Lepisosteus oculatus: one gene and its partners. The protein of the gene in region 2 purifies or fractionates together with the protein of the main gene of each other region. This does not show direct contact. Links are inferred from orthologs where the notes say so. Each region holds a gene or a part of one and is shown on either strand. Other genes may lie near its edges. The genes, in order: riok3, rack1 and larp4ab.

Evidence for each region.
Region 1: the proteins of rack1 (region 2) and riok3 purify together in Homo sapiens (affinity purification with mass spectrometry; 3 studies listed by BioGRID and IntAct, counting the BioPlex papers as one, with this or other methods). This does not show direct contact. The link is inferred for Lepisosteus oculatus from reciprocal best matches to the Homo sapiens genes RACK1 and RIOK3.
Region 3: the proteins of rack1 (region 2) and larp4ab purify together in Homo sapiens (affinity purification with mass spectrometry; 3 studies listed by BioGRID and IntAct, counting the BioPlex papers as one, with this or other methods). This does not show direct contact. The link is inferred for Lepisosteus oculatus from reciprocal best matches to the Homo sapiens genes RACK1 and LARP4.

The regions. Positions count from the first base shown.
Region 1 is NC_090701.1:57,816,143-57,823,879, forward strand, and holds the start of riok3 (serine/threonine-protein kinase RIO3), read left to right. Parts: upstream 1-4,708; 5' UTR 4,709-5,052; coding exon 5,053-5,112; intron 5,113-6,081; exon of another isoform or gene 6,082-6,140; intron 6,141-7,391; coding exon 7,392-7,507; intron 7,508-7,737. Other genes in the region: UDP-N-acetylglucosamine transporter TMEM241 homolog, read right to left, coding at 81-149; leucine-rich repeat-containing protein 15-like, read right to left, coding at 1,025-2,254.
Region 2 is NC_090706.1:29,977,897-29,985,411, reverse strand, and holds the start of rack1 (small ribosomal subunit protein RACK1), read right to left. Parts: upstream 3,075-7,515; 5' UTR 2,966-3,074; coding exon 2,857-2,965; intron 1,934-2,856; coding exon 1,762-1,933; intron 1,066-1,761; coding exon 918-1,065; intron 304-917; coding exon 208-303; intron 1-207. UniProt on the Homo sapiens protein: Scaffolding protein involved in the recruitment, assembly and/or regulation of a variety of signaling molecules. Interacts with a wide variety of proteins and plays a role in many cellular processes.
Region 3 is NC_090696.1:20,590,357-20,597,727, forward strand, and holds the start of larp4ab (la-related protein 4), read right to left. Parts: upstream 3,093-7,371; 5' UTR 2,741-3,092; coding exon 2,624-2,740; intron 1-2,623. Other genes in the region: pfdn5 (prefoldin subunit 5), read right to left, coding at 6,585-6,664. UniProt on the Homo sapiens protein: RNA binding protein that binds to the poly-A tract of mRNA molecules. Associates with the 40S ribosomal subunit and with polysomes. Plays a role in the regulation of mRNA translation.

The DNA of each region.
Region 1 (7,737 bases), on a different chromosome or scaffold from region 2:
AACGCTTCAGCGGGTATGACAGGTCTTTTAAATTATTTCAAGACGGAAGCAATAGGTAAAACAAAACAATAGTCTCTCACCTTGTTTGTGAAGCACGACACCAAGTAGAAAAGGCAAAAGCTAAGACCGAGTGCAATGCTCTTCCACATTTGCCAAGATAAAACTATTGCTTCAGTCCAGCGATGTCTGTCATCCTGTTTCTACCAAATCTTTTTCGCCTGAGTACCTCGCAGCCATGTCTGACACGTTGCTCAGAGATTGCTCCAATCCAACACCAGCTACTCCTGAAGGAACTGACCCCTTAAAGAGACAGGCACCCCTCTCACACGGAGCACCAAAATGCTGTAACACATACAATCAAAGTCAATCAAAGTTTATTTATCAAATGCACAACAATACAACTTGCAGCAGTAGTTGCTGGCAATGAATTGTCTTTACAGCAGGTAAAGACATACAGCAGGTTAATTGGGCTCACACAACTATTGAAATACTAGAAAGCACAGTACGACATGATAGGGTTGATTAAATGATAAAATTGAATTTGAATTCCAAATTAAAATCTAAGCTTAATTGAGTGTTGAAGAAAAGTGATTGGACATTTTCTGTTTTCCAAGACCACATAGGTGAAGAGTTTGTATTGTATCTGATATCTCTGTCACTTAGCTGAACCCACAGCTAAAAGGAAGAAAATTATGTTGAAGAAAATCATCATTTCACAAATATGACACATTATAAATTTTTACCATGGATGATGTGTAGCCGTGTGAATAGCAGAAAATCTGCATTGGCTTTCATAGATTTAACCTAAAGCATTGCGTGCTCAGTTCTAAAATGATTTGTTAAGAATTAAGAAGTCCTTTATACAAACAGAAAAGTACTGGTGCAATTAAGGCATTTTTCTGACTCAAGGGGAATTGTCAAAAAAAGTTTCCCAAGAATACAGACAAAGCCCCAGTGACAAATCTGACAACAAGGCTTCGTCAGATTCATCACCCCCACATCATTTTACATTGAGTAGCCTTTGTCAGATGCATGTCACAGGAGGAACTATAGATAACTTTGAGGAGACAGTGGAACACACTGGGTTGTTGGTCATCAGCACTTTCTTTAAATTGAGATTACTCTTGAGAAGATCAAAGTCCATTTCTGCTATGAAATTGCTTGACAGATCCAAGAGTTCTAAATCCTCCATGTGACTTATAAAGACCTCAGCTGGCCAGAGGTGTATTTTACAGCAGCAAATCTTTAACTCCTGCACGTTCTGCAGCCCCAGAAGCATGGGCATCTTCGAGAAGTCATTTCTGTCCAAATACAAGTATTCCAGTGCAGTGTTATTCTGAAAAACATCTCTCGGCAGCCAAAATATAGAGTTGCCTGACAGGTCTAGCACTGTGAGTTGGTATAAACCTGTCAAGAATCCATCCGGAAGCTTCGATAAAGAATTATTGGACAGAGTGAGCTTTGTGAGATGAGACAGATTAATGAAGGGAAATGGTGGCAATGATGAAATGCTATTCCCTGACAGATACAGAAACCTTAGGTTCCTTAAACCTCTTAGGGCTGGCAATACAGACTGAGTAAATCTATTGTTATTGAGGATCAGATCAGACAGGTTATGTTGGTGGTATAATAACCTAGTAGGTAAATGTGTCAGGGCATTATTGGACAAATCCAGTATCTGAAGTTTGGGTGTTGGATCAAATAATTGTGATGGTATAGTTGTTAATCTGTTACCAGATAGAATCAGTGTGTTTAAACGTGCAAGACCTTCAAATATATTGTTGTGTAGCAGCATGGAGTTGTCTGAAAGATCAAGGTAAGTGAGGCTTTGTAGTTTTGCAAAGGTTCCATCGGGGAGGGTCTTCAGCTGATTTTTTGCCAGGTTTATCCAGACCATTTTAAACGGTGCTTGAAGAAAACCAATGGGTATCGACTGGAGGTCATTTTCAGACACATCTAAGGAGAGGAGGTTGATGAGACTCTCCAAAGTATCATTCTCAGGGCAGATCTTATTCCTGGATAAGCCTAGAAAGGTCAGGGCTGTCAGGTTTCTGAAAGCCCCCTTCAGGATGCTGGTTAACTGATTGTCAGACAGGAACAGAGTCTCTGTTTGGGGTGCAATGTCCCAGGGAAGGTTCCTGAGGCCAGCTCTGCTGCAGTCGGTCACAGCGGGGGAACAGACGCAGCCCGCAGGGCACCCTTCTGCCGCCACTCCCATCCACAGCGAGATAAGGAGTAGAATCAGGGTGGCCATCTTCCTTCCACTCTGAAGAAGGAAAACCACAACAACAACAACAACAACAAAAAACAAACAGTTACCCACTGGTGCAAGCAAAACCAAAATAAAATCCCCTTTATTTAAATATAAATGATGTCTTCAACTCATTGAACTTCAACTTCAACTGCACCACATCCTTTAATATTCTGGGTAAAAAACTCTGATTACAGATGTAACGTATCAGTTCGTGAGCCTTTGAATTCTGCAGCAAGAGCAACTTCTCTTCCATCTAATTTCCCTATTCAGTCACATTCCTTAGGTCACATTCCTTAGGGCGGAGCGGTGGCTCTGTGGCTCAGGATCTGCGTCTGTGACCGGAAGGTTGCCGGTTCAAATCCCGCGGCCGGCAGAGGAATCCTACTCCGTTGGGCCCCTGAGCAAGGCCCTTAACCCCAACTGCTCCAGGGGCGCCGTACAATGGCTGACCCTGCGCTCTGACCCCAAGCTTCTCTCCCTGTCTCTGTGTCTGTGTCTCCCTGGAGAAAAAGCTGGGGTATGCGAAAAGACGCATTCCTAATGCAAGAAATTGTATAGGGCTAATAAAGAAACATTATTATCATTATCATTTATGTGGGCATTAGCATGTCCCCTATTAATGATCAAATTTGCAGAGAGAATATGCTGTAGATTACAGGCCAATCTCCATTACAGGACTTAAATGATAAAATTGAATACACCGCATACAGAAAATAAACTGGTAGAAAGCCCTGACTGGGATATAGTTCGGGGAGGTACTTTTTCTTCTTCTAAAAATGTAGGACACTAGCTGCTCTGTGCTGAAGTTGTACATGCGGTACTTGCAACACCAAACAGCTCAACGTGTAGATTGCTCATGGCCCTCTCTTCTTTAGGTGAACTCAGGGTGTGAGCACCTGTTCACATGTTGTGAAAACAGCGCTTTTAAGGGATATTTGACTGTATGAAAAAGTTCTGGTATTGGATCTTACTGGTATGTCCACACCTACAGTATGATCCCCTGACAACTCCTACTCACTGACATCTCCCAGACAGGTAAGATGTCTTTTGCTGGTGCATTGTTGCAGCCAAAAAAAAAAAATGTTTGGTTGGGAGAAGACTGGGATTCCATTAAAAATGGTCTCTGCCTGGACAAAAGCTTATCTTAAATGATAAATTCTGTTAAAATAGTATACTATCTCTTTACGTTTCTTTCGTTTCAGTTTGTATTTGTGTTGTACATTATGTTTTAGAAATATGATAAAAATGTATTTAAAACAGGTAACAAAATATATATTTTTTGTGTTTCTAAAAAACTATATAATCACTGCAATTAGAGCCAGACTGGAATGCTGTAAGCTTTAAGAGCAAAGTTAATGGGATCTATTATGATATCATAAAACATCTCATCATTAACAAGTGAACTGCTCTCAGGGGAACACTAGCTAAATGCAAACTGATGCAATCATAGGAACTGAAATACAAGATACACTGAGTAATGTACTCTCAGTAATACACTCTAGAAAACAGTTTTTTTATATTTTCAAAGTGTGCATCACATTAAATACACATATTCTGTATCTTCAGTAAAACAGGTAATTAAAGGTTGAAAAATAAGTAAATGTACCTCACCTAAAAGCAGTGAGAATTTTTTGAACAATCCCAAGCCAAATCATAGCCAATACAGCTGATAACTTAATAATCATACTAAATCGACCCCTCTAGAAGCGGACATTGCAATTTATTTACGCAGATATTAATAGCTGTTCGTTAGGACTGGAAGCTGCACTAAATAGCCATAGCTTATACTACACACTCCTTGAGCAGAATCAGTAGTGGTTGGGCCAGTCTGACAGTCTTAGTATTTAAGATACAGTATTTACGGCTACCCTGACACTTTTTACAGGAAGATGAAACTCAGAATACTCACATTTTAAACAGTTTTTAAACTTTCTTCCCTTGCCAAAAAGCTCTAAGGGACTGCCACATCAATACTGTCCCGTTTCAAATAAAGTAAACTGCATTCTTGGTAGGTCCAGAAGTCTGTTTGCCTGTGGCAATACACGGTTGCACAATCCTTTAAAAAATAAACAGAATAACAGACGTTCAGAAAACAGATCACACGCTGCTTAAGAAACTGAATTGGAAGCGGATAACTTGTGTCAAAACACTGTGGCCCTCGTATTTCAATTCTGATGGCAATACAGCGCACACATTTTAAATGTTTTAGATTTGATACTCAAATATCCTTCGCTTATTGGGCGTTTGTAAGAAATCACTAGCGAACCCCAGCTAAATCGTGAAGAGATGCACGATCAAGATGACTTCTTGCTCAAAGAAAAGGGTCGCCTACCTACACACTGCAAGTAGGAAGGCTTTAGGGAAAGTGTCTTTGTGAGAGGATAATAAAAAAACGAGCTGCGTCTTTAAGAGAGTGTCCCTGCAGTATCAGCTGGTGCCGAGCGCCTCTGCACAGGCGAGGCAGTTCAGCCATTTAGCTCCGCCGTATCGGTGGTACTCGAACACTTCTGCTTATTTGCCAATTTTGGCAGGTCATCTCTATTTTTATTATAATTTTCTACCACGTGTCGTGGTATATATTTTTGTACAGCGACCACCGTTTAGTCGAAGTCAAGAATTATATTTTTTATAATACCTTGTTTTTCTTTCTGGTGACGCGAACTCGGTTCACAGAGCTGCTGTTTGGTGTTCAACTTGCCCAGACTTGTCATTGACTCGTGTTTACTACAGTACTGGGCATATTTATTAACTATTTATTTATCCGAGAACAAACTGCGCACTTCGCTGGTTGGGGAAAAATGGATCAAATAGGAGTAGCTGCCAAAGAAAACGAGACTGATTCCGTGTGGAAACCCAAGGTCAGTATTTTTTAAAATTATTTTATTCAGCATACAAGTCTGAATTGCGGGGCCTAGCCTAGTGCAGAAGACGAGCCACTGACGTCAGCGCTGTTAGGAGTTTCACACTATACCGGCTTCTGTTAATATTCTTGCTTGACACTAAAATGTCATTAGAAAATGTTATCGATATATAATGATAAAAACTACTACAGAAATTATCCCTCCCGGAATATACATGTCCAGTCCTATATAAGAAACACACGCGAGATCTGGTCGTTAAAAACCGAACTCCGTTCAGCTTAATTCCTTCAAGGACCTGAGGCTTCATACAGATTTTTTTTATTTCTATTTTTCTATTTACAAATTGTGTCCCTAGTCGGGAAACATGAGAGAATCGGGAAAGCAGCGGAGTGGCCCAGCGACTAGTTTCGATGACGTCATAGTGGAGCAGGGTGATGTAATGTAAGCCCTTCAGAGCAGATCCGCTGTCTCTTCACTTAAATTCACAAAACTGCCTGCGAGTTATATTACTGGTGTAACCCTTGCAATGCCTTAAACTGTAAAACGCTGCTTGTGTAATGTTATAGACTTTCGTAAGTGTCCATATTGCTCAATACTTATTTTCCCCAGAAAAGATATCTTAACATGATTCTTTTATTTTAAAACGTAGCACCAACATTTGCACAAGAACGTTCAAACCTCAGTCTTCTTAATCATATTTCTGAGTAACTATTTCATTCGTAAAAGCTAAATACTTCTTATTGTATAAAATGCTTCTCTTTTTTTAAAACAAGCTATAAGGTGTAGAAAACCTGTGTACTTGGCTACTATTCTAATTGAGCGCCCCACTGTGTAAGGCAAGTCGTCTTATTTTTGTATCCTTATTAGCATTGGTGAATCGCCCCCTGTTTCTGCTGTGCATGCCTGTTTCTCATGCTGATAACACCATAATAGAACAGATCTCCAATGAAGTGCTGCTTCCCTAACCTTCCTCCAGATGGCGCTGTACCACTCAGCTGCCAGCCAGTGCAGTTTTGGGAAGGAAGAAGTAAGGACTTTCCAGAAAGCAAAATGTTCAGAATCAGATCTCGTGTATCAGGCTCCGAGTGTGCTTAAATACGACTTGATAAATCTACTTCAAAAATTTTCTGTAATGATTGATTAATTAATGAGCAAGAAGTTACCAAAAACTGTTCTGTGATGAAATTAGCGGTGAACTGTTGACTGAGGACCTTTGCCTTCGGGAATGACTCACCGGTCTCTTGCAGGAAAGTACACTGTCTCCACAGAGATAAAAGCCAGTAATGACAGTGTAATGAGCACAGGCCTTCTGTAACTCTATAGACTAATGTCCGAGACCGACACGTTTGCAAACAATAAGTCATACAGAATTTCCCTTCTGGGTGTAGCTGGCAGGGACATTGGTATATAAGTACCTGCATGAATAGTTTCTTGCTGCGCGACTATGAGTCATTACATAAACGTGATTCGAGTGGGATGTTTCGGATAGGAAAATTCTAAAATGGCAGCCTGGTATGAGATCTCCAATCCCTGTTTTTCATGATTATTATCCTAAAAAAATGTAGATACCGCCTTTTAAAGTACCTTCTCAAAGCGCTTTACAGTAAGAAAAAAAAGAACACTGATATGAGATAAAAAGTTAGTACATTTAAAAACAAGGGTTTTGAGTCTGGTTGAAGATGCAAAGGGACAGACGGGGGCAGACGCAGACATCAGTTGAGTAAAAAGCCTTTCCGGAGAAGGGTTGGGTCTGGATTTGACTCTCTGATATCCTGGGGGAGAGAGTCCCAGAGCTCTGGGGTGCAGCAGGAGAAGGCCCTGTCACCCATGGTGTGAAGATGAGCTTGGGGAACAGAGGGGAGACCAGAGTCGGACAAAGACTGTGAGGTGGGGAGTAGACAGATAATGAGTCAGACAGGTACTGAGGTGCCAAGCCATGCAGAGCATTATAGGTGAGCATGAGGACTTTAAAGTCGGCGCAGAACCTAACAGGAAGCCAGTGCGGGGACTCCAGGATAGGAGTAATGTGATCCCTTGCAGCGGAACTGGTCAGGCGTCTGGCTGCTGAATTGTGGGCATGCCGGAGATTGTTCAGACTGGGCTTGGGTACTCCAGCGAGTAGGGCACTGCGGTAATCAACGCAAGAGAAGACAAATACATTGACAAGCTTTTCAGCAACAGTCAAGAGACAACAAAATACGGAGCGTGCAGATATTTCCGAGATGGAAGAATGATGTTTTTACAGTTCCTCCATTTCATTCTTTTTCTCCCCTCAGAGCCCATGGGGAGCCCCTAACAGTGTGGTAAATCCCTGCTCCCTGGCTGATGTGATGAGCGAGCAGCTGGCGATACAGCTCAATGAGGAGTTCTCGACCTACCCCAGCTGCCCGGAGTGAGTCCACCGAACAAGATCGATCAGATTCCTTCTCATGTTCTGTTCTTCCTACTGAAAGGGAGGATTTCTTTTCTTCCCACTTGTGTTTTGAAGCCGTGAGCAATGTCATGCTAGGCAGGTGTAGTGGGATGGAAATGCGATTAAATAAGCAGCCTTAATTGGAGATCCTGCATCAGACAAGATAGTGGCCTGGACTGTATGTTCAAAAACTCTTTTAAAATCCACTT
Region 2 (7,515 bases):
AATGTGCAAGTGGAAACTATATTTAAGAGGCACATTTTGCATAGAGGACTATGGGAGTTTGGGACAAGTTCCCTTGAAGAGCCATTAGCCATCCAACACGGTAGACGTGTCGCCTATAGACTGCAATCACTCCAATAGCCTGCAGTTTCCCCGGATCAGATGTAGGGTCCTAGTCTAGAAGGCTGTTTCCAGCTGGTCGACGAGTACCTTGACCATCTTGTCCCAGCCACAGGAGACGATGATGGGGTTACTGCTGTTAGGGGAGAAGCGCACGCAGGAGACCCATTCAGTGTGGCTTTCATCCTACAACACAGAGCATCAAAATGCAAGGGGTCAGTCAACCTCAATACCCACTACTGCTCTTCTGCTGCCCTCCGCCTTCATTGGAGCAAGTCAAGCTTTATCCCAGGCTGAAAAGAAAATGGACAACACTTCCGCCGTGGAGCCCTCTGACCTGCAGAAGGCGCCACAGTCGAAACGTCAAGTCCCTTTTCTTTTTCAGCCTGGAATAAACCTTTACTTGTTCTTCTGCAGCCTACGCACGCGGACACAGCTACCCACTTGAACTTCTCCTTCACGACTGTGAATTCCACTGCGTTAAGGCTAACAAACATCAAGGCCTCGCCATTTTATAGGAACAGTCCCCACAAAACAATGCAGAGCAGCTTTCGAGTTGAGAAACGCTAAAGCCTGAAGCCCGTTTCCGATTTCCACAACGTCCCGTCATAATTGCAGGACTTGTCGTCACGGCCACAAGGCTCGGACGATAGGACCGTGAGATGTGTAATCACTGGGACACGTGTGGAAACTCCCTGCGCTTTCGCCTCCCTGCACACAGTGACGGGGCAGGTGGCGAAGGCGAGCGCACATGCTGGCCGAGTGAGAGCGCTCCAGCGGGTCACGTCGAGCCTCCTGACCTGGATGGTGTACTTGCAGACTCCCAGGGTGTTCCACAGCTTGATGGTCTTGTCGCGCGACCCGGACACGATCTGCCGGTTGTCGGCGGAGAAGGCCACACTCAGGACGTCCTTGGTGTGCCCCACGAAGCGACGGGTAGTCGTGCCTCTGCAGACACACGCAAATTCTCAGTTTACAGACGGTTTTCCTGTTTACAGCTGATGTGCAATATATGCTGGTTTCCATTCCAGCCAGTGACACAATCAAACCCTTTGTTGACTTTATAATAAGATTAATTTGAACCGTTTATTCCCAGGTCTTAAACGTGTTGGAGCTTTAACCGTTATTATTTCGCAAGTGAAATAAAGTCCCAAACTCATGATGGAAAAACAAAATGCAAATATTCAAACAAAGGAACTTCTTAGGTCAATTAAGGCTTAAATTATCTAGTGCCCTGGCCACCCTCCCCCTTAGCCTTTACAATTCATGTCTTCCTAAAAATCCCCATCTTTGAACTGGCTTCACTCTGCTCTCCTCCCCACTGAGAGCTGGTGTGTAGCAAGAGTACTGGCGCTGCATCATTCAGGTACACATTGGTGGCAGCCGTGGGATTCTCCATTATCTGTAAAGCACTTTGACTGGAGTGTCTGCCAGGAAAAGCGCTATATAAGTGTAAGGAATGAATTAACTAATGAAGGCGGGATAGGATGGAAACCCACAGGTGTGTGGGTCACTAGGACTAGGGACCACTGGCTTAATGGGGACAAACACAGCCAGTCATTGAGCGTGTGGAGATAATTGCAGGGAAGGGCGTGAAAGAGCCACCCCACCAACCTAGCCCTCTCTGCGTCCGCGCTCACTCACGTTGTCAGGTCCCAGAGGCGCAGGGTGCCGTCCCAGGATCCCGACAGAGCGAACTGGCCGTCGGAGGAGATGACCACGTCGCTGACGAAGTGCGAGTGGCCACGCAGGGCTCTCTGGGGGATGCCGTAGTTGGTCTCATCGCGGGTGAGCTTCCACATGATGATGGACTTGTCTGGAGGCCCAAGCACAATCAAACAGGTACTCAGGGGAGGGAAGAGAGAAGGCCCTGTTGCCCACTAGGCACTGCACTGGTTTAAAATTAATCTTTTCATCCCTCATCTACTACTGACTACTGCTCAAGCTTCACCTCCCATCATGCGCCTCTGCAGAAGCAGGACATGTGGAACGGATGCCCAGCAGTGTACAAACTGCACTGAGTGTTGTCCACACGCTGAACTAACATTTCTTCAAAATGAACACCAGTGCCTTAACAGAAAGTGTTATTTCTAAGGACCGAACCCAACTCTAAGCAACGCATATCCCGCTTCAAATCAGATCCAAGCTTAAATTGCGCCTCCCAACTTCTTTTTCCTCCCGGCCTAGCAGAACATCAACAGCCCAGCGATCATCTCGCTAAGGAAGCACGTTACTGTCTACCGAGAACTACACGGCTCCGCTACCGACCACTCGTCTGACGCACTTCACACGTCGAGCCGGACAAAAAGCGCCTCAGCGCCACTGACCAGACCGGGAAACGCGCCCGGCGCCACGGCGGCCTTTCGGTCCAACGCCAAGATCTGCGAGATGCTGCCCTACAGCGCAGCCGGCCTACAAGCGCGAAGTGAACCGCTTGCACAACTCTGTCCTTCATCAGCAGAAACAAAAGATCCCAGCCTGTGCCTCACGACTTTCTGAAACACACGTGTCTGCCCCCTCTGACACTCGTACCTTCTCTCGGGTCCAGGCGTCACGTTTTAATGTTGCATTGCTTTAAAAAAACGATCTTGTATTTACTAAACGGCACGTGAAAATAATTTAAGCACTTTCCTCAATCTACTCTCATGTTCACGCATTATAACACGTTTTATGCTGTAAATCACGCTACCACGTAGACCACCGGAATAGCCAAGGCAATGATGGCGGCGGCCGGGTTACCTCTGGAAGCAGACAGAATCATATCGGGAAACTGCGGGGTAGTGGCAATCTGGGTGACCCAACCATTATGACCCTTCAGGGTCCCCCTTACAGTCATCTGCTCGGTCATTTTGGCGAAGATACACGGTGCCTTTCAGGGAGGATGGACTCAGATTGAGATCGGAGGCTACCGCCGCCCTGCTCCTCTCGCTTACAGGCACAGGAAAGAGGAAGACTCGACCCGGAAGCAGAACTAAAAAAGAGCAGGCGAGGGTCCGCGGTGCATTCTGGATACAGAGCTGCCGGGCAGCTGGAGCAGGGCCCGGCGCTGAGATTGTTTCCCTTGCAGTCGTCCTCGCCTGTGGCGAGTTAGGAATAATTTGAGCTGTAAATGTTTTTGTGTTGGTTTCACCCTTCCCGTTTAAAGATCTTAAGATGTTTTGTAGTTCTCTTCAAACATAAACAGTCAGTATTTAAGTCAGTGCAGCAGAGGTAGTGGGTTTTATTTTTTTAATTAAAAACATTTCAAACTCCTAAAATTGGACATTACAATGCTAAATTCTAACTAAATTAGAAAATTATTTAATTGAGTGTTTGATATTTTTCTCTAAAAAAAAAAAAATTGTTCCCGCCCGGTTTCGAACCGGGGACCTTTCGCGTGTGAGGCGAACGTGATAACCACTACACTACGGAAACTTAGTGCTGTTGTATTCGATATCAGTAGTAGATCACACTATTAATACAATTAATATCTTTATGTGATAACGTTTGATATATATATGGAATTTTTTTATCATACAATTCCGAAAAAACAATTACAGTATATTTTTAAATCTTTCTCAAAGGCATATTTATGAATGTTCTCAGATTTAACCTCTTCAAACACGGGACACTGAACCATTTTCTTATCATGGCACTTTAAAAAACGAAAAAAACTCAATCTTTTTGGAAATATATAAATTACAGAATTATCCTCAATCTTCTAAAACGTAAAAGTTGTGAAGTACAATTCAATGCAATTGACACAGCTGTGACGCGTCTAAGTGGTATATAACAGCATTACACTTCAGCAACGGTACTTAACAATTATACTTCTGGGGAAACGAGAACATTTTATAACGGTACTATTAAAAAAACATTAAAAACAAAACAGGCCTATATTTGAAATGTATATATTTGACAACGGAGCAACATACTCTACCGAGCACATTTCGCTGCTATTCAAGGTACTGGAGCTCGAACTGAGCTTCGAAATACGGTTCAAATTCAATTTTAAAAGCGCCTTCTACAAGGCTTCTCAGCAAAACAAACAAAAAAAGTGTTTCCGCCCGGTTTCGAACCGAGGACCTTTCGCGTGTTAGGCGAACGTGATAACCACTACACTACGGAAACCTCCTCGACTCTCCCTCCAACACTTTGTGCTACTGGTTTTATAGTTAATTTCCGATGAGATGTTCAAATGTTGCCTTCTATTCTCCCCCGAAAATCTATGTCACACCGGAAATTATGATGCCGGATCAAATTCATATTTCACACGCACGATTAATGTATTTCTTGTTTAATAGGAAGAGTTACTTCACATTCCATAGGGGTAATAAAATAAAAGCAGCTGTTCCCGCCCGGTTTCGAACCGGGGACCTTTCGCGTGTGAGGCGAACGTGATAACCACTACACTACGGAAACCCAGCTGTGGCACGAACTCTGCCCGAAAGGCTAAAGCTGTGTCTGGGGTCTGTATTAAATACCCCTTTATCGTCCCTGCCCTCGCTCCGTTGTTTGGACCTCGTTCGGATTATTACATTGAACACGACATTTTTTAAATAAGAAAACTACTGCTGGAGAGTTGCAAAGTCGGAACATAACTCCCATCTGTTTTAAATACAAGCCTTTTTCTACATAAGCATGGTGCTCGCTTTTGCACATAGACGAATATATAAAACCCTGTAACGCGTATCCCACTAGGGCTCAGACTAACCCATGTGATGGCTAGAGAATGTGGTATTATAATAATAATAATAATAATAATAATAATAATAATAATTGCTTACACTTATGTAGCGCTTTTCTGGATACTCCACTCAAAGCGCTTTACAGGTAATAGGGACTCCCCTCCACCACCACCAGTGTATAGGTATAGTAACACGTACAGAGCACGTTTCTACTTAACGCATGACTCGTTTTGCAATTATACATGTTAAATTTAATGTGCTTTAATTCTGCAAAATAAATGATTTCTGTCTCATTTTCACATCAGCGTTTCTACGTCCCATAGTTTCAGATTTAATTGTAAACTGAGCTAGTTTACTATCCATCCAGTTCAGGGTCACGGGGGAACCGGAGCCTATCCCAGCAAGCAACGGACAGAATATGGGGTACCGACTGGCCAGGACGCCAGTTTATCACAGGGCGCACACACACACTCGGACCAGGGCTTGTTTTACTTCTTTACTAACTAAACCGCAGTCTGAAGTGTTGCTCTAATCCAGGAGCGACAGCGGTACACCATCTGTCTCGATGAAGGTTTCGCCCGCTGAGACAGCTTCCTGCTTCCTGTTTTCCGCTCCACAAACCAACCCTCTGCATAGATTTGTGGCATCTGTATCTCAGCATGTTCATTATCTTTATTCTCTTGTAGCTCCTTTTACACTATCTATAAAGAGTTCTCTTCCTTCTTATTTAATAACCGTTTAGTCTGAAATGTCTTGTATATCCTTAAATAAGCACGTGTAAGAAGACATGTAGCACCGTGTTTACAGATTAGCATTACCGTGTTTTAGGGCTGGGGCCCTGGGTTCAATTTCTTTCTGCAGAGTTATACACTCTCCATACATGCCTTTTAGACTCCAGATTTTGACATTTAAAAAAAAAAAAACTCTATGAAAAGTTACCATATTGGGATCAGACTTTTCTGGGGGGTCCTGTTAATTCTGTTCTCTTCATTACATCCTAGCTGTTTTGAAAAGATAGACAAAGTAAGTCACGTCTGAGAGTCACGTCTTAAGAAGCTATTATTGACTACTCAAACCATGATCATTTCAGCTTCTTGATTCTGCACCACAATCCTCCAGTGTACAAGAGGAAAATTGAAATAATCAGGTAACACAACAGCACTTTTTCTACCTATCTTCCAGATTTTACCGCTCGGTAACCTGCTCGTTCCCATCTCAGCACAAGCCTATAGCTTTGACCACAAACGGATCCTATTTGTATGTTATGCAAACCATGACCATCTCTGTACCCTCTAAGGAGCTTTAAACTGCATTTTTACCTTTAGGAGCGGTCACTGGGAGAGGACGGAGACAGTGTGGAGACTCCAGTGCTCCCAGTTCCTGCAGTGTGTTGGACACTGGTGTTGCTGGGTCACTGGGAGAGGACGGAGACAGTGTGGAGACTCCAGTGCTCCCAGTTCCTGCAGTGTGTTGGACACTGGTGTTGCTGGGTCACTGGGAGAGGACGGAGACAGTGTGGAGACTCCAGTGCTCCCAGTTCCTGCAGTGTGTTGGACACTGGTGTTGCTGGGTCACTGTGAGAGGATAGAGACAGTGTGGAGACTCCAGTGCTCCCAGTTCCTGCAGTGTGTTGGACACTGGTGTTGCTGGGTCACTGGGAGAGGACGGAGACAGTGTGGAGACTCCAGTGCTCCCAGTTCCTGCAGTGTGTTGGACACTGGTGTTGCTGGGTCACTGTGAGAGGATAGAGACAGTGTGGAGACTCCAGTGCTCCCAGTTCCTGGAGTGTGTTGGACACTGTTGTTGCTGGGTCACTGTGAGAGGATAGAGACAGTGTGGAGACTCCAGTGCTCCCAGTTCCTGCAGTGTGTTGGACACTGGTGTTGCTGGGTCACTGTGAGAGGATAGAGACAGTGTGGAGACTCCAGTGCTCCCAGTTCCTGCAGTGTGTTGGACACTGGTGTTGCTGGGTCACTGGGAGAGGACGGAGACAGTGTGGAGACTCCAGTGCTCCCAGTTCCTGGAGTGTGTTGGACACTGGTGTTGCTGGGTCACTGGGAGAGGACGGAGACAGTGTGGAGACTCCAGTGACCCAGGGTTCTGGGACTGTGGCCTATCAGGTTCACAGATTCACTGGGTCGGCAAGGGCAGGGCTGGAGAGAGGCAGTATTGCTCTCCCAGAAGCTCCTGGTGAGACGATGCTGTTCTTCACCTGGAGAGCCCAGCCCAGGAAACTCGTTTTCTACCTCTTGACAGCTGAGGACGGGCCTGCAGTCCTCACTGCCTCTGTGCTGAGGGTCTGAGCTCCGGCTCTGCAGGAAGAAATCTGCAACCTGGCACCTGTGTGTACAAAGTGTGAACACCGGGTGGCGCTGTTTGTAGCCCCCACTAGCTGTCAGATCGCTAAATTCTGCCTCTACCTCTGACTCACACTGGTGTTATTTTTGCACACGGCTTGTGCTGATGTGCTGATTTGTATTTAAGTTGTATGTTATTTAACTTTGTTTTTGCTGCTGCTGTTTTGTGTTTGTATTTGTATTTCATTGCACTTGTGTCCTCCCACATATGATATGAATTGAACACACGGTCTTTAGATATTCATAAATCCCTACATTAGCCAGAGATCGTGCTCTCTAAACAACGTGAAACGTGTCTGTGGCAGATGGGAGAAAACCCTCAGGATCACATGTGGAACATGCAAACTCCACACAAAAGGATTGCTGGTCCAGAA
Region 3 (7,371 bases), on a different chromosome or scaffold from region 2:
GGCAGGTAAAGGCAGCCAGCATTCTCTGGTTCAATCCTGATACAGCAGATCAAAGCTGAATGTAAAGATGGGCCTGTCTTTCTCTCAAGTTTCATGAAAGCCCAGTCAGAAGCCCTGTTTTATTTACAGAATCCTCAAAAAAACAATGACAAGAAACCATTTAAATGCAATTCCGTAACTGGGTACACTCAGACAAGCGCACACTGGAAGGCTTAAAGAGCATAGATATAAATGGAGAGAGATGTGTGAGAAGCAGAGACCCCAGAACTGCCAGGAATAGGGGAGCAAAGTAAGAACACTGACTGGGAAAGGACTAGTGTGTCTTCAGTCTGCATTAGAACACGGAGTCGGGAATCTTCAAAGTGGGAGAGCAGAAAGGCTTACTCAAGTCCATTTACATGATTCTAACTGTGTTCTGCACTTTGATGTTTGCTTCAGAAGTCTTCTTCCTTGTGCACATTACTTCAAACACATGTACCAGATACAATACCTGTTTCACTCTGCTTTTAAATAGTTGCTCTCCGAGTTTCCGACAACTTCTAACTGGTAAGAACTGGCTGACGTACAGCCAGGGGTCCCCACCACTTCTCTTGGACATGCAGCAGTCCAGTTAGTCTTAAAGGTCACCCCAAATCACCTGTGTTTTTAAAAAATAAGAAGTGCTTGGAAGTTACTTAGCAATTACGCCAAGCAATGTATTCAAGAGAGCCCATCATCCAAGATTGAGGCGTATTCAGATTTGTATTTCAAGTTATCTTCAATACTTCATTGAACAAATCGCCCATTGAACGGATAACAATACTAACTGTTCCTTGTCTTTACAGACTGATCAATTAACGATGAGCTATATAACCTGCTGCACTGGCAAAGTACAGCAGCAGACGGGAATATTACTGCATCGAACACAATATCGCTGACCAGACTCGATGGTTTAGTCAAACTGCACCTGGTCATTTTAAACCACTACAGATGAGAGGAGGGACAGTAGACGGAAGACGAGCGAGAGTAATCGAATGTAAGAGCCCTTAAGAAAACTTCTATCTCATTTGGAAAATAATTATTTAATTGTTGAATTGACTAGTCAGGTTGGAACAAAAACCAGGAGACGAAGCACAGCAGGAACGGAGTCTGAGACCCTTGTGCTAGTGACAGTCTGCCTGCTGTAGGAGCCTTTTACCATCAACTGCCCCAGTGATCACCACTCACACCTAAACCTGCTCTACAGGCCCATCCTTCCACGGGTTCCCTGGCACTGAGTCACTTCACAGCTGGCAAACAGGACTGTTCAGTCAGCACGTTATTTCTTTAAATGGAGGATTCCACCTACGGAAATGCTGTCAGTATTCAGTAATAATTCAAATACCTCATGCATGTTTGTAAATTTCGGTAAATTACAGTCGTTTAAGAAAAGAGAACTTCCCCTTTTAAAAGCACAGCCTGATTATTTTGACCTACAGACAGAGGCCTAGGCAAGGGGCAGGCCTGACGCAGGTCAGGTTAGTCCTTAGACGTGTTTGACCCTAATGAATGGGGAGGTGGCTTATCTAATGCCAGAACTGTCCCTCTCACGAGCTGTGCCACAGCTGCCCTGTCGCTTTTATCGGCACACTCCTGAGCGACTCAGACAGCCCGGCAACGCTGCCAGAGGAACTAATTTTATCACCCCCCACAACACCCCACTCCTCCTCCCCCTGCCCCGGTCTGCAATCACGCCGTCCCCGCACACATATGGCTCCTTCGCTCGAGTTAACAGAAGCAAAATTCGACAAAACGACCGTTTGAGTCCCCTCAGGTCTTCACATGCAGGCATTTTGGCCTCCGTTCCACGCGTGTGGGCAGCGCGGGAGGGTGTTTTCCTATGTTGTCTCATTGGGAGCGAGGCGGACGAATGCGGCGTGTGCGAGGGCTAAGATGGGCCGAGGCGTCCTCCGAGCCAGCTAGGCCCCGCCTGCGGCGCCATATGGACACCGCCGGGACGGACGAGAAGCTTTATTTTTAAAACCTAAGAACTGAAAACAACACCAAAAGGATAGTATGTTCACTGCAAACCACGAGGAAAATAACGAGAGTTGTGTCAGAGCAGCAATATCCTTAAAGTAAATACCTAAAATAGTTGGGAAGCTAGTCGGCTAGCAAGCATGCTGTCACTCGACACTGCCGGTGTCATCCATTCACATGCGCAGGGGGTTAAATATTGCAGAAGCCCCTTCGACTGGGGCTTTTTTTTATATAAATATACGCAACACATCTATAAATTCTCCTGTCTGATCGACGATTGTAAATAAACGACACCATCATGCCCTATCTCGGATCAGATCTACACGCAACTGCAGCACATCATTCAAAAGACCGGAATTCATTGCCGAACATAAGTCAAAGACATCAAGAACAAGGACAATGGAAATAAAGCCTCGCTCTGCCGGATAAGGGAAAAACCGAACTAGAAAAACAGTATTTGCTACTAACACAGTTAATTGGCTTCTATCTTTAGAAACTGCGGTTCTGAAAAATCGCGGATCACACCGGGTTTTACGGAGCTGTGGCATGGAGGAGGAGGAGGAGGAGGAGGAGGGGGGGGGGTGGAGGTTGTGCTAAGTCAGCCAGCCACAGGCCCCAAACTCACCATGCCGCCTCCGTCTCCGCCGGCCTCGGGTCTGCTCTCGCTCTCCCCTCGGCGGGTCTCCGGTCCCGGCTCGGCCTCCTGCTGCTTCTGCGGGTCTCCGCCCTGCTCCGAACTCATGGGCCGCTCCTGGCGCTCCGCTAACCCCGCCGCTCTCTCTCCTTCTCCCCCCTCTCTCCTCCTCCTCCTCACCTCTCACCGGGTGATGAAAAAGCAACAAGCGCTTTCTCTTTCTAGATCAGCGATGCGTTTTGTACAACCCCTTTCGCTTTACGATTAAAAAAATAAGACAAAATAGATACCGCAACCAGCTAAGATGCTTTTACGATAATCTGTAGCTTTGCGATGAGTATCTTTTTAATTTACTAGCGATCAGCGAGCCGGAGAGCGCATTCCTAGCCGGACAACCGAAGCGGGCACTGGGGACACGCACCTCTCCGGAGCGCCACTGTCTGACAGCACACCGCCAACGTCCCGGCAAGCAGCGCGACCTCTCACCCTCTCTTCCCTCCCTTTCCCTTCCCCATCGCAGCTCCTAGCAACGGCGCAACATTCATTGCGCCGCATAGCAACCATCTCAACTCCTTTCCGCATAGCAACAGCGCATGGCAACAGAGGAGCGCTGACATAAGCCAAACATAAGATCACTGATTTTCGCTTCTTCTTCTGCAGGTCCGCCATTTCTCCCGGGTTTTTTTCTTCCCTGACTCTTAATGACTGGATTTTAATAATTTGTTCCCTTAACTAGTCTGTATCAAGCCTGTTTCCAGGTTTTTACTCATTGAGTAAGCTGTACGTTTCTCATTAAACCTCATGGACTACAGCCCTCTAGAACCAGGACTGAACATCACTGTTACGCTCACATCAAATTTAATTCCAAAACTGACCACTTTTTCCTGGCCTTCACAATAAAATAGGAAAGTGAAAGTTGCAGTAAAAATTAATGATAAAGTACTTTAAACAAAACTACTGTTATATAATCCTTAAACCAGGAGAGCATAGTTCCAGTCCCAGAGGACTGGAGGGTCTGGTTGCCCTGCCACCCAAGTCCTTAATTATTAAATTTAACTTATTAATCGATTAATTGGACAAGTTGAAGAATGTTCTTGTTATTGAGAAGTTGGTGATTTAAAGAGAACTCCAGGTGCTCTGGTTTCCTCCCACAGTCCAAAGACATGCTAGTAGGCTAATTGGCTTCTGGGAAAACTGGCCCTGGTGTGTCTGTGTGGCGTCCTGTCCAGGGTATACCCTGCCTTGCAACCATTGCTTGCTGGTATAGGCTCCGGCTCCCCCCCCCCCCCGACCCTAAACTGGATGACATGGCTAGAAAATGAGGGCTGGATTACTTTCCCCAGCACTTTCCCAAACACTGCTCAAGCCAGGGAGTCACTACGCTTTATCTAAATATGTACAGCAAGGCTGCCAGCTGAGTATCATACAAATAGGCCAATTTTTTAGTTGTGATTCTGGGCTCACATTCCCACAACCCCCCTGTCCTCAGGGATAAAAGTATGAGGGGAGCCCCTACCCGCAAGACACGAGGGAAGAAAGGTGTTGTAAATATTTTTTGTCTAGGCATTCACTGTGGGGAAACATGACAACCTTGAGAGTCATGCTGTTATTTTCATGAAATCTAGAGATTCAACAGTTCATGTAAGTCATGACTGACTACCAGCCATTTCCACCATCCAGAGGAAACCTGAGAGAACATACAAACTGAGGATTGAACCCAGGGCCCCAGCTGTGTGAGGCAACAATGCTAATCATTGCTCCACCTTCCCACGGAAAAGTAATACAACTACAAGATACAACTTCCCACTTCCTCCTCTCTCCTGGCTTTTGTTTTCTCATGCTATATTATCTTTGCTGACTGCCCTATCTTTCTTACACCCAAAGAAGGCTCCTGCAGCTCACACACCCTTAGCCAGCAGAGGTCCAGATGGTTCCAGTCCAGCCACCTGAAGAGGTACAGGACCAATACCACTTACAGATACCGCTCCAAATTATTAAGAGCTGAAAGCACATTTTAAATAGAAAACTGAAATTAAGCACTCGGCCAGAGGAGACAGTGATCTCCCAGGATCGGGGCTTGATGAAGGGTAAAATAGTGGTATCCAGAGAGAGGACTAAAACCCATAACCTCACAGTTTATCCAGAGCCCCAGCCACAAATCTAAACTGTTCCAGGTGTTGCGCCAAGAATTGGAAATCAAACATCTTAGAAAATGCCTAAACACTGAACCAGTGATTCCACATATTTACTCAAACACGAAGGGATTTCAGGAAATCATTAGATGGACATTAAGAGCAGGACTCCATAATCCAGGTCCTGCTGACCCCACCTTCTGCTTGTTTTAAGGTCTTCACTTATCACAGGACTGGATGAGCAATTTACTAGACATGTTCTCAACTCAGTAACTGCCAGAGCTTTTAATTTTACCTAGAGTTGAAAAGAACTTTAAAAAGTGCTCTGTAGAAGCAGAAGTCAATCTCTCAGTGAAAGAAGTATTAAACAACTGAGAGCCTGACTGGAATGAAACCCAGCAGAGAGTGGGGTATCAGGCCAGGGACTGGGGAGCCCCAGGATAAATACAACATGCCAGCACGGTCTTACTGGAACATGTACATGCACAAGGTTAGCTGGCCCATTCAAACACCTGTGTCATCCCACTGGAGAGGATGTGGAATAAAATCTAGCACAAGTGCAGTTACGGAATCATGGGAGAAAACATTCCCATAGACACAGAGCTCATTGAGGCTTTATTTCAGTATTAGCTGCAAGATAGAAAAGTAATAATTTAATAAAAGGATTGTTCTTTATCCTCAGAAAATAGACACACAAGGGAATGAAGACCTGCATGCTCGTGTCACTCTGTGTTCTTAATTGCGTCATTAAGATCCCATAACAGCATCTTTCCAGGCTTTGGCTGTTGAGATGGATTTAAGTTGGATAGACAATAAGAGAAGAATGAGATAGAACAAGGGCAGCACGATGGTGCAGTGGTTAGCATTACTGCCTTGCAGTGCTAGGCTTTGGGTTCAATTCTGGACCTGGAGTGCTATCTGTGAGGAGTTTACATGTATCCCAATGTTTGCATGGGTTTCTTCCCACAGTCCAAAGACATACTGTTAGGCTTGTGGGAAACTGGCCCTGGTGTGTGTGTCTGTGTGTGCCCTCAGATGGACTGGTGTCTCTTCCAGAGCGTGTCCTGCCTTGCACCATTTGCTTGCCAAGACAGGCCTCTGCTCCCCAATGACCCTGAACCGGAAGTGGTTAGAAAATGGATGGATGAGATAAAATAATATTGCAAAGGTATTATCAGAGCCTTCTTTATTGTTTCAAGGGGCAGCAGCATAGAAGACAATAAAAAAAAACTTGCTTTACATAAATCCACAGACAAGAAAGCAATTAATTTAAAGTTAGCTTGACTTCACAAAGGCAAACAGTATAAAACTGCGCCTCTCTGTTGGGGACCTGTAAGAAAATATACCCAAACTAAAACAACATCTGAAACCAGGAGAACGTCATAACAATTGTTGACAGATGTAAAACATTCACTCATTAAGAAGGAACGCAAGAGTGAATGGTCTGACAGCTGGTTATCTTTCTGAAGCAGAAATCCCACCACTTGTCGCTCTTGATGGCCACTGTGCAGGAGAGCGTCCAGATGCCCAGCCCACATCCTGCATCGCGGCTCGAGGTTCGAGATCTCCAGGGACCAATGCTGCGTTGGCATCTTCCAGTGTTATCACAGGCGTTGGGCCTGGCCCTCCCCTCTCTCCCATCCCCGCCGTGTCCTGGGACAAAGGTGGGGTACCCAAATCAAGCTCCCCCCCTTCCCTCGCTGGATATCATTCTTACCCCCCATAGCTCAGGCTCCGCTTTGCCCTCATGACTTCCTCCCCCCCCCCCCTTCTCCTCCTCGCCCCGCCCCTGCACCCTCACACCACCACCCCCAGTCTGCTCAGGCCTTGGTGGTGCCGGACTGCGAGGCCTGGAGGGTCTGGAGCTGCTGGATCTTCACGCTCATCACCTCGATCACAGCTGGAGGAGGAAGGAGAGAGAAGGAGAATGTGAATCAGTCAGAGGGATAGAGGGCGAGTCAGAGAGAAAAGATGGGTATGCACTTCAAATCCTCCGACCCCTGAGAAAATATTCTGTTAGGGTAAAATCTCTTTTCAATGGCCAATGTCATTCAAGTTCTGTCCAGATGCCGCACTAAGTCCTAAGCCCTTCGTTTAAGTCCGCAGTTCTGTGACGTAGTGCAGCAAAGATTCGAGGGGCACCATTATAGAAAGGGTAATAGGACACCCTTGCAAGATGTCACTCGCTGGTCACACGGCTGACTGTCAAAATGCTTTCTCTTGTTGCTGCTTCTTTTCCAGTGGCTAAGTGCACGTCGCCAGAGAATTTTTTTAAAGAATGTTTCGCTTTCCACTCGCAGTTTGATGAAATTGAATGGCATCCTGTTTCTCCCTGCACAAAAGTAGTGACACATCGTGTTCATTCATGCCGAGCAAGCGCAACTCAAAGCGGGCGAAGAACACTAAGGACAACACCGCTCTGTTTATTCAAAACTTTACCACTAAATACATTTTATCTTGTCTGTCCCAGAACAAAAATGACAGTACGGGGAATGCAATGCTTTCATTCATGTTGAACAGGACTGATTCAAAGTGGACCAAGTAAACTAAACAAGGTAAACCTCAGAGCTTTGTACTATAAATACTGTCTTTCTGTGTACAAAATAC